Arabidopsis thaliana: one gene and its partners. The protein of the gene in region 2 interacts with the protein of the main gene of each other region in a pairwise test. Each region holds a gene or a part of one and is shown on either strand. Other genes may lie near its edges. The genes, in order: ZF3, ARR7 and LSH3.

Evidence for each region.
Region 1: the proteins of ARR7 (region 2) and ZF3 interact in a two-hybrid assay, tested with the Arabidopsis thaliana proteins (one large-scale study listed by BioGRID).
Region 3: the proteins of ARR7 (region 2) and LSH3 interact in a two-hybrid assay, tested with the Arabidopsis thaliana proteins (one large-scale study listed by BioGRID).

Annotation. Positions count from the first base shown.
Region 1 is NC_003076.8:17,330,331-17,333,641, reverse strand, and holds ZF3 (zinc-finger protein 3), read left to right. Parts: upstream 1-1,995; 5' UTR 1,996-2,010; coding exon 2,011-2,592; 3' UTR 2,593-2,697; downstream 2,698-3,311. Other genes in the region: QWRF9 (QWRF motif protein (DUF566)), read right to left, coding at 2,906-2,950, 3,028-3,135, 3,230-3,311. UniProt on the Arabidopsis thaliana protein: Transcriptional repressor probably involved in abiotic stress responses. Binds DNA in a sequence-specific manner and can repress the transactivation activity of other transcription factors.
Region 2 is NC_003070.9:6,577,615-6,581,374, reverse strand, and holds ARR7 (response regulator 7), read left to right. Parts: upstream 1-2,060; 5' UTR 2,061-2,296; coding exon 2,297-2,444; intron 2,445-2,574; coding exon 2,575-2,651; intron 2,652-2,870; coding exon 2,871-2,948; intron 2,949-3,041; coding exon 3,042-3,112; intron 3,113-3,209; coding exon 3,210-3,456; 3' UTR 3,457-3,542; downstream 3,543-3,760. UniProt on the Arabidopsis thaliana protein: Functions as a response regulator involved in His-to-Asp phosphorelay signal transduction system. Phosphorylation of the Asp residue in the receiver domain activates the ability of the protein to promote the transcription of target genes.
Region 3 is NC_003071.7:13,275,638-13,279,397, forward strand, and holds the start of LSH3 (LIGHT-DEPENDENT SHORT HYPOCOTYLS-like protein (DUF640)), read left to right. Parts: upstream 1-2,072; 5' UTR 2,073-2,265; coding exon 2,266-2,925; 3' UTR 2,926-3,760.

The DNA of each region.
Region 1 (3,311 bases), on a different chromosome or scaffold from region 2:
CGTTAATGTCCGAGTGTCGGATCACATAGCGAGTCCAAAAAAAGTGAATTCACAACCCAACATTTTTACTAACTAATTTTTTAAAAAAATATTCTAACTACAAATCGAATCTAATTAACCCAATAAGAATTGAATACGTAATTAAAGATGATGATAAACAATATAGACGAGCTACTTTTTAGTCTAAACAACAATTTACTCGTGACTAGAATATGTATCTGCATGCTAATGTGGTCGTTGTCTAATTAGCTTGATTCAAATTCCTATAATACATATTGTTAAAAGATAATGAACAAAGTAATAGTAGAAGACCAAAGGACGGCACGGAATAATTTGAGATTCCGACAAGATCAGATTCACACTCGTTTGCTTGTCTTAAGATCACCCTTACAGAGACAGATAAAATTTAATAAGTCAAAAGTCATTGTCCATAATAAAAACAAAGAAACACAGCTCGGAAATGTATTCTTGTCTCTAAGTTTGAGTTAAGGTACAATGCATTAATCTCACCGATTAGCTATTCATTGGTTGTTAGATCTATTTTTTCAACATCCCGTTACTAGATTAATTATAAAGTTTTTTCTTTCTAAAGATTACACACAAGTTTATACTAGATGTTGTTAAGCTATTGATGATTCAACCATGCATAATCTGTTACCGACGATTCTCCCATTGCAACATAACCCAAAAGGTCCCCCTTCCGCTTGTGAAAGGAAAAACTAAAGGTTTAGAGATATATGCACACATTATATTCGTGAAAGCACATGCATGACCCATATGTTTTTCAAGAGTTTACGAAGGTCATCGTTGCTCAGGCCACCAAACTTTGCTGGTATATCTGCTTCGGTAGCTTGTCTTAAACTCGTTAGTTGCAGCAAGCCTAAGAATCATTACACTTCATTAGGCTTTTCGTTTTTAGGCATCTAACATGATGTGTCTTTTAGATCTCGTAATGTGAGAAAAGAGAGAGAGATAGGTTACTCTTAGAGAATTAGGTTAATTAATTGTTGGAAATTATTTTTTAGTTAGCATAAAGACCTAATTATATAAGTAATTATACAATCTATATTATAACGTAAATAGCTAGTAAAAATGATACAACTTAGATTCTAACCTAAACGTGAAAAAAGCACCCATAATCCTAACTTTAAAAGAAAAGTCCCAAAACCTTATACTAAAGAGAAGACCATTAAACCAAAACTCTTATACCGTATCATGACACAAGTTGTTGAATCCAATTTAGTGTAACTTCAACTCTAGACATTCACGCATTTGAATTAAAACCAATAAAGAAAATTTCATGATTCTTGGTTGCAATGGGCTGTGGGAATTAAGTTATAAGCTCTTTGTTTCTTGTTGTCATGAGTTCTCTACCGAAACATCCAATCATCTTTTATATTCAAGGTTTCCTCATTATAATCTTAATCTACACACATTGCCTCCGTTTTCAAATGTTTGGACCAAGTAATGAATGCTATTGGGTTTGTTCAGAAATTCCCAAAGGTACAACAAACCTACACTTAAATAAATAACTACATATATAAGCAAAGTGTTAAAACATAAATGAAAAGCTAGATGAATATTAATTGTAAAATACGGCCTAAGTTTAGAGACAAGGTTTTTATTAGTTTTAAAGAATCAATCATTATTGTGTGTAGTTGGATTCAAATGTCAACTCTCAACTAGTCAGAAGAAGAGTATATAGCCCGACTTGTGTAACATTTCTCTCCCCCACAAAACGTGCCAAAATTAATATATTCCACTCTCACCAAATGTTGAAATAATATTTTAATTATACATTCACTTTCGTTACAACTTACAACAAACAACTTGCTCAGCACATATTTCGTTTCAACTAAATACTTAAAATAATTAGAATGGCCAATTTGGCCACCCACTCTCACTCTTCTTTCTCACGCAACTTCCTCTCTTCTCAAGATTCTTCTCCATACTTCACCTTCTTCTATATATCTCTCTGCTCTCAAATTAGGTTTTAAATTTTCTATAGCAATGGCGCTTGAAGCTCTTAATTCACCAAGATTGGTCGAGGATCCCTTAAGATTCAATGGCGTTGAGCAGTGGACCAAATGTAAGAAACGATCCAAACGTTCGAGATCTGATCTTCATCATAACCACCGTCTCACTGAGGAAGAGTATCTAGCTTTCTGTCTCATGCTTCTTGCTCGGGATGGCGGCGATCTTGACTCTGTGACGGTTGCGGAGAAGCCGAGTTATAAGTGTGGCGTTTGTTACAAGACGTTTTCGTCTTACCAAGCTCTCGGCGGTCATAAAGCGAGCCACCGGAGCTTATACGGTGGTGGAGAGAATGATAAATCGACACCATCCACCGCCGTGAAATCTCACGTTTGTTCGGTTTGCGGGAAATCTTTCGCCACCGGTCAAGCTCTCGGCGGCCACAAGCGGTGCCACTACGATGGTGGCGTTTCGAACTCGGAAGGTGTGGGGTCTACTAGCCACGTCAGCAGTAGTAGCCACCGTGGATTTGACCTTAATATTATACCGGTGCAGGGATTTTCGCCGGACGACGAAGTGATGAGTCCGATGGCGACTAAGAAGCCTCGCCTGAAGTAAGTCTTTGTTGAAGACCTGGAAGTTTATCAAATGTAAATATCAAATTTCAATTTCAAGGAACAGTTTTGTTGATTCTATTACCAATACACAATACGATTCAATTCCTTTGTTTCTGAAGTAACAGCATACTAAATTCATTAGAAAACCGAATCGAAAATATTTACAACTGACTTTTGTTTGGTTGTTAAACTATCAAGTGAATTTGGCCTCTCTATTTGAATTAGATGATCTCCTTACATTCTCATAACTCCAAAATTGCCGATAATGAGTAGCTTTCTTACTTACACTCTGTTTTGTTAACTTTGCCACCTTACTATTGTAGCTGTGTAACCTGTGTCCTCAAACTGCATTCTGTTACCTGCATAGTTTAGAGATTAATCCCCAACACTGTAGGTATAGTGCAGACAAATCTATAATGAATTTGAGATATTGTACCTGCAGAGCTGAGATTGTGTTTAGAAGGTCCCGGCACACGTCGAGCATCCCTTCGTCCTTGGCATTCACACGGCCAAGTTCTGCTGCCAAGCTACTTATTTTCCCAACCTGGGATATTGGCTTTCACTTTGAAGATACAATATGAATAAAACGCAATAGAAGATTGTGCCATAAACATTATCCGAGAGAAAAGAAGAGTCACCTTTGGCAGCAACAAGCATATGGAAGATGCCATTGCTTGCATAACATCAACTGCTGAACAAATGGCATCCTTAACACTTTGT
Region 2 (3,760 bases):
AAGCATGTTAACAATGAGCTGAAAATAATGTTGTTATGAGAAAAACAGTATATTTATATACGATAATAATATTAGTCTTGAAAAATAACTAGTAATATCTTTGGTATTTTGGTCATCGTATCTTGAGATTGTAAGCAAACTTTGTAAACAAATCAGTACGTGACTATATGATGAAGCATTATTTATTACGAAACCAACAAACGGAGAACACTTTTATATATATTTTAGCGTTGTTATGACTATAGTGTTTTTTCTCCTCTTGTAGCTATCGTGACTATATCATCAATAGTCCGTTTCTATTATTCAGGAACTGTTCGTTTATGTTTAAAATCAAATTATTGACTTCTAAAAAATAACTGAATACATGAAAGACTTTGGTGGTTGTGGTTCGTTTTTTTAAATTGGATTTAGGATTTTCTTTTCATAAATCTTAGGTACGGAGCAAATGGATGACTGTCTCTTGATTTGTTTATTTTATTATTCAAAATGTATGCAAAGATCTTGATAACTTGAAACATAAGACATTAAAATCTAGGTGGAAAAAAACATTTGAAAGCAAGTTTGTTCCATATATAAATTGCAATGAAAATAAGAAAATGTGAAACATATTGATGGTTTTTTCCTTTTCCTTTCAGTAATGTTCTTATCACCAATGTTTTGTTTGGCACGATCATCAAATGTTTAGACATGTGGATCAACATTGTAATAATTTTCTCTTCAAATGACTGACTCTTTTTTTTTTTTTCAAAATAATGTTTTTCGTAAGTGTTAGGTGTGAAGACCATCATGTTTTTGCTAGATTCTTGTAGATCTCAACATTGATATTTGTAGATATCTATCAAATCGTTACAAAAAGTTTGCTAGATTCTAAATTAATGCTAAGAAACCAGTTTTCTTTACAAAATGTTTTTGTCAATGTCCTCTCACAATCGGCTAAAAGATGTTACAAACTATAAAGGATCCTCCTCCACAACTTTTGAAGATTTTACTCTCTCCAGATTTTGTCCAAAAAGGACTCACAAAATCACACAATGATGGTCAACTAAAAAAAATCACTAAACAACTTAAATGAAATGATGACAAAACTATTCCCTTTTGTTGCAAAATAAAAAAAAAAACCTTTTAAATCTGCAAAGAGATCCTTATATGATATGGCTGTTGTCCTGGTATTATTTCTCCAATTTAATTTAGGAATTTCATGTTTGACACTTATTTAGGGATCGTATAATATACGTTTTTTAATTGATTTGAAACCAAATAACATGTACTATTGCCTTAGTCCTCTTGCAATTCGTTTAGAAGATGTTATGATTGAGACAAAAGGATCCACCCGCAATACTTTGTCCATATTTTTCTCTCAAGATTTTGTCCAAAAGCAAAAGAGACTCACAAATCACACACAATGGTCCACTAAACAGAGTGCCTTTATTGCATACAAAATTCAATCAATTTAATAAAGGAAACTCAACTGAAAACGATGACAATAAAAAATAAAAAATGTCCCTTTTGTCTTTAAATAAAATAATAACCCTTACTGACGTAAAGAAAATTAAATTAAGATAACCTTGTAAAATACTTCTTACCCAAATTAAAAAAGAAAAAAAAAAAGACAACAAGAGGATTAAATTGTATTAGTATCACCATCATACCATTACACATAAATAAAATTTAGTAGAGTATAAACGAATCACGTGTATAGGAAAATACAAAATACAATGTTGAAGTTAAAATGAATATAGAAGTAGATTAATTGAGCAATAACCACCGGTTTTAGATCATTGATTGATATGTAAGTAAAATGCAAAGTAGTAGCCGACTTGGCAAAGAAAAAGAAAAAAGAAGAGAGAGAGAGGTAAAACTAAAATAAAATTACTAAAAGCAGAAGGAAAGTTCCAGGTCACGAGGGAGTAGTCGCTGTCGGATTGAAAGAAACAGACCAAACAAAGATCTTTGAAATCTTAAAAAAGATTCGGTGCCCAAAGATTTTGACCTTTGAAGACACATTTGATTATTTGTGTTTTCTGACACTTCCCAAACACATAACATCAACACTTGACCCATTTTTAAGATTTTGTTTCCTCTTCAAAGATCTTACCCCGCAAGATCCGATCTTCCAAATCTCTCTCTATCTACTATACTAGTACTTATTAAACCCCACCACCTCTCCCTTCTTATTTATGTCACCTAACCTAACTTCTTCTTCTTTCATTTTATCACATTCATTTCCTTTGTCTTCAATCCAAAGCTTTCCTCTTCTTGGAACCAATCTGCTCTCTTTTTTATTCTGAGTTTGACAATGGCGGTTGGTGAGGTCATGAGGATGGAGATTCCCGCCGGTGGAGATTTGACTGTTACTACTCCGGAGTTGCATGTTCTTGCCGTCGATGATAGTATTGTGGATCGTAAAGTCATCGAGAGGTTGCTTAGAATCTCTTCTTGTAAAGGTAAAAACTCAAAACCAATCTTTTTCTGCTCTGTTTTTGTTGGTTTTAACTCTCCTCTGTTTTTCTTCTTCATTAACAAACTCTCCTCTGTTTTTTAGTTACAAGTGTCTTTTTTTTTTTGTTATTTCAGTGACGACTGTAGAGAGTGGAACTAGGGCTTTGCAGTATCTTGGCTTAGATGGAGGCAAAGGGGCTTCTAATCTTAAGGTAATTAAGAATAAATCTTCCCTCTTTTGCTATCTACTGAGAAGAACTCTTGTATATTTAGGAAAGACCGAAGGAGTGAAACCTTTGCAACTTTGGCTTTGGCTATTGCTTCTTCTTGTCTTTATGATCAAATGAGATTTAGAAATGAACTAGTCTAGTTAGTGATTTATGTGTTTTGGTATTAAGATTTGATTTTGTTTGTGATTTTCATCATAACAGGATTTGAAGGTGAATTTGATAGTGACGGATTACTCAATGCCAGGACTTTCAGGATATGATCTCCTTAAAAAGATTAAGGTAATAACAATAATAATGGATTTACCAATCTGAGAAAGACTTAAACAAAGCTTTTTTAATGCTGCTTATACAAAACTCCATTGATATGTGCAGGAATCTTCAGCATTCAGAGAAGTACCAGTAGTGATTATGTCATCTGAGAACATCTTACCTCGTATACAAGAGTAAGTACTGATTGTGTAATGTGTAGTGATACAGATGGGATCATATTTGTGTCTACACTGTGATCTAAACTTATCGACTTCTTCTTCTTGTTTTTAGATGTCTCAAAGAAGGAGCAGAGGAATTCTTGTTGAAACCGGTGAAGCTAGCAGATGTAAAGCGAATCAAACAACTTATAATGAGGAATGAAGCTGAGGAATGCAAAATCTTAAGCCATTCTAACAAGAGAAAGCTTCAAGAAGACAGTGATACATCATCATCAAGTCATGATGATACTTCTATCAAGGACTCTTCATGTTCAAAACGAATGAAATCAGAATCTGAAAACCTTTTTTCTCTACTTTGAATTATATGTATAGAGGCCAAGACCTTAGCAAAACCATTCTGTTAATATTCCTCAAGAAAGACAATGTTTGAGAGAGTCATCACACTACTCATGATGTTGCTTAAACAAAACAAAACAAAAAAGAGAAAAGAATCAAATGTTAGGTTCACACTGACTTACACCTCATGTAAATTCTTCAATGCTTGCAACTCAAGCTTAGGATGCTCTTCTCCCGGAAGTATTGGTCTATCATCAATCACGCAGGAATCGTTTTTCAGGTAAGTGAGTCTGCAAACCGCCCAAACAGGATCCGAAGACAATTGGA
Region 3 (3,760 bases), on a different chromosome or scaffold from region 2:
TACATGTAAAATATACGATCAAACATATGCATATTGAAAGAAATTTGCAGATCTTTTATCAAAAAAAATTAAGAGATTCATAGAACACTTAACTATAAATTATAGGTTTTATACAAAAACACAAATAAAACTATTATTGTAGAGCAAATTGGTAAATTTGAATACTCAAAAAATTACGCCGGATCAAGTTTTCGAAAGAAGTTAACGGACAGAACGACATAATTGTCGCTAATGGCTGGATTTTCCTGTTCATAAAGAGATATCTCTAAAGATTTTTAACGCTCTCAAGTCTCAACACATGAAAATTGTGCATGTGCACGCAAAACATTGACGCTCTCAACGTATTGAGAAATGAGAATATACATAGGTGATGGTACTTAATTATTTGAATAATTGTTTTATAACTCCCAACTTCGTTAGGCAAATGTTGAGAGTACACTGGTAACTTAAAAATTCGTTGATATTTACAAAAGCAATGTTACGAAGTTCGAGCTACTGCTAGTACCTAGCTAATTGCAATATGTGTCGTATTCAATGATAAATAGTTGAGGAAAGTTAGTGTTTTATCATAGTTTAGAAATGATGTCGTACATAACTCTATTTAGAGTGTTTATGTAAACGAGGATTGATTTTGTAGTTTAGTATGATCTAGCCAGAATATTTTGTCCTTTTGTGATGAAATTTTGTGGAGCAACACGAAAATGTTAACCTAATGGCAGAGATGTCATTTATATTTTCTATGTACTTAAATGTATAAACTACCAAATTAATATAAACTAATTTTCTTTAACATAACTCGGATTTGAGAACAAAAATTCAATCTCGCAAAAATACCATTCTTTTTAAAAGTTACTGATCAATGGGTTGAGATGAATGTAATACTTGATCAATCGGGCTCTATTCTTCGCAGTGTTAAAACAAAAATAGGTGAATTTACTGAAAGTGAAGACCAGCCTATGGTCTATCTTTCGTCTCGGTTCAATATTTTTTTACCATTTTCAGATGACACGCTCTAAATACGTAGTTTGTTCTTTTGTCGGACAAAATAAAAATATTATAGATAAAGAAGATGTTTTGTATTTTGTACAATGGTCCGAAGAAAAGCCCTTTTCACATATGTCCAAGGGAGAAGAATTGAGGGCTACTTTTGTAAAATATCAATGAACTGTCAATCAGTTCTACAGTATAGATAGAAATATATAATTAAAATATTTTCCCATCTTTTTCAAACTTTTGGGTGCCTTTGTCCACACCTAAATGCCCAACTCCTTCTCTGCTTTTTTCTAGCGACAGAAAATTATTTTATCGTAGAAAAAATAGCGAGAGATGAAGAGTAAGAAGACATCCAAGCTTACAAGTCTTTATCAATAATGAAGCCAAATATATATATATTTTTTAAACGATACGTTCATTTACTTTTTCTAAAACCTACAATCATTTTCTCTCTAATCTACCAATTAAGTGATGAGAGTATGCTAGATAAATATACACACTAAAACGACAATACTATTCCCATATGCTTCTTCAGTTCTAGTTGCTTGAGTATTTAGAATCGAACTATTTACAAGATATTTAAAGGTTTCAGAATTTATAGCGGAAGAAAGGATAACAACTAAACTGAGAAAATTCAAATATGAGTCGTGGACGTAAACGAACTATGTATTTAAAAGAATTGAGAGCCAGAAACCACTAATTTAAATATCTCAATTAAATTGTTAGTAAACCCTACACATAAAAAAGAAAAATTCTTTTATAAGAACATCTAAAATTTTAAAACCTAAACGTAATTTTAATAATATACCTATTACTTCCACTGTAATAGGTATTATAGTTGTGTGTTTAATCGAAAGAAAAAGTTTAATAGTTGTAACGAACGTTTTCGTTTAGTATTATCCCGAAAAGGCTATTTAGTCCCTCCGACATTAATTTCGAAATATTACATTAAAAACACCAAACCCGGTATATGAAATGCAGACAAAACAAACAATGGATACAAAAGAGTAAAGGTATGAAAACTATAGTCCACCTATCTCAAGTAATATAAAAACAAAACAAGGGGAAAAAAGAAACGACAAAGTTTATATCATTTTCTCTAATTATATAATAATATTCTCAATAAATCAATTAATACGCAAAATATATATCTGCACAAAGTAACCTTATTATATCTCCCAACCGCACAAACAAAATTTCAGCTCCTCCATATCCATCAAGAAAGATCAAGAATCAAGAACTAATCAATATCGATCGATCCGTTAAAAAAAAATGGATATGATTCCCCAATTGATGGAAGGCTCTTCAGCTTACGGAGGTGTCACAAACCTCAACATCATCTCAAACAACTCCTCCTCCGTCACCGGAGCCACCGGAGGTGAAGCAACGCAACCACTGTCTTCCTCCTCCTCACCATCGGCGAACTCAAGCCGTTACGAGAACCAGAAGAGGAGAGACTGGAACACGTTCGGACAGTACTTAAGGAACCATCGGCCACCGCTTTCGCTTTCCCGATGCAGTGGAGCTCACGTGCTCGAGTTCCTCCGTTACTTGGACCAGTTCGGTAAGACAAAAGTCCACACGAACATTTGTCACTTCTATGGCCATCCTAATCCTCCGGCACCGTGTCCGTGTCCTCTCCGACAAGCTTGGGGAAGTCTTGACGCTCTTATCGGTCGTCTTCGAGCTGCCTTTGAGGAAAACGGAGGCAAGCCTGAGACGAATCCTTTTGGAGCTCGTGCCGTTAGGCTTTATCTAAGGGAAGTTAGAGATATGCAGAGTAAAGCTAGAGGTGTTAGCTACGAGAAGAAGAAGCGAAAGCGTCCTCTTCCTTCGTCGTCGACTTCTTCTTCCTCCGCCGTAGCTAGCCACCAGCAATTTCAAATGCTACCGGGTACTAGTTCTACTACTCAATTAAAGTTTGAGAAGTAAGTAATTATATAATTAAGAGAAATGGAGTATTTTATGTAATCTGAAATGTGATTTGGTCTCTTTCTTATATGTTGATTTTAATTTTAGGTTATGTGGTTCAGTTTTAGTTACTAGTGTATGCTGGGGGGAGGAAGGTAGGGTTTTCAATTTTATTTATATCTAATAAAAGAGAAATTCACATGTATTAATGTGTACATATTTATATATATGAGTATCTATGTATCATTACTATCATCATCATAGTTATATTGGTCTTCTTTTTTCTAAAACAGAGAGGTCTTAGGTTTACTTTAAATCGATTTATGGAGTATGATGATGATACTAGAAGCTAAAATAGTATTATTGATTTTCTTCTTTTGATGCAAAACAGTGGTCGTTTTCTAAAAGTGACAGTGAACTAACAGTGGTCTTATAGTAGTTGACAGTGATTGCACTAACTATTTTAAATTCATGAAAAATTTCAATGCTCCAAAGTCCAAATTCCCCAAAGATTTACTGCATTCGTTCCCACTCACCAATATTCACATGCATACGTGGCATGCTTCAGTAAATATGCTGTCGTATGTTTTTTCATCTCTAAAATCATTTCTTTTTCATGTTAAAGTAGGTTTCATAGGTTTACTTGTGAGTTGTGAGTGATATGTTCTCTTACAGCATAATTGTAGGGAAAAAAAAACAGTTCCGTAAATTCTCCACTTTATGTTTCTTAGTACTTACTTTTTTACTCAAGAAGAACAATGTGCGTGTCTCGGCTTTTGCATAAACCCTAGATTTTGTAGATCTGATGATTCATGATTGATGTTGTATTTTAATTATGGTAATTCCATGTTAAATA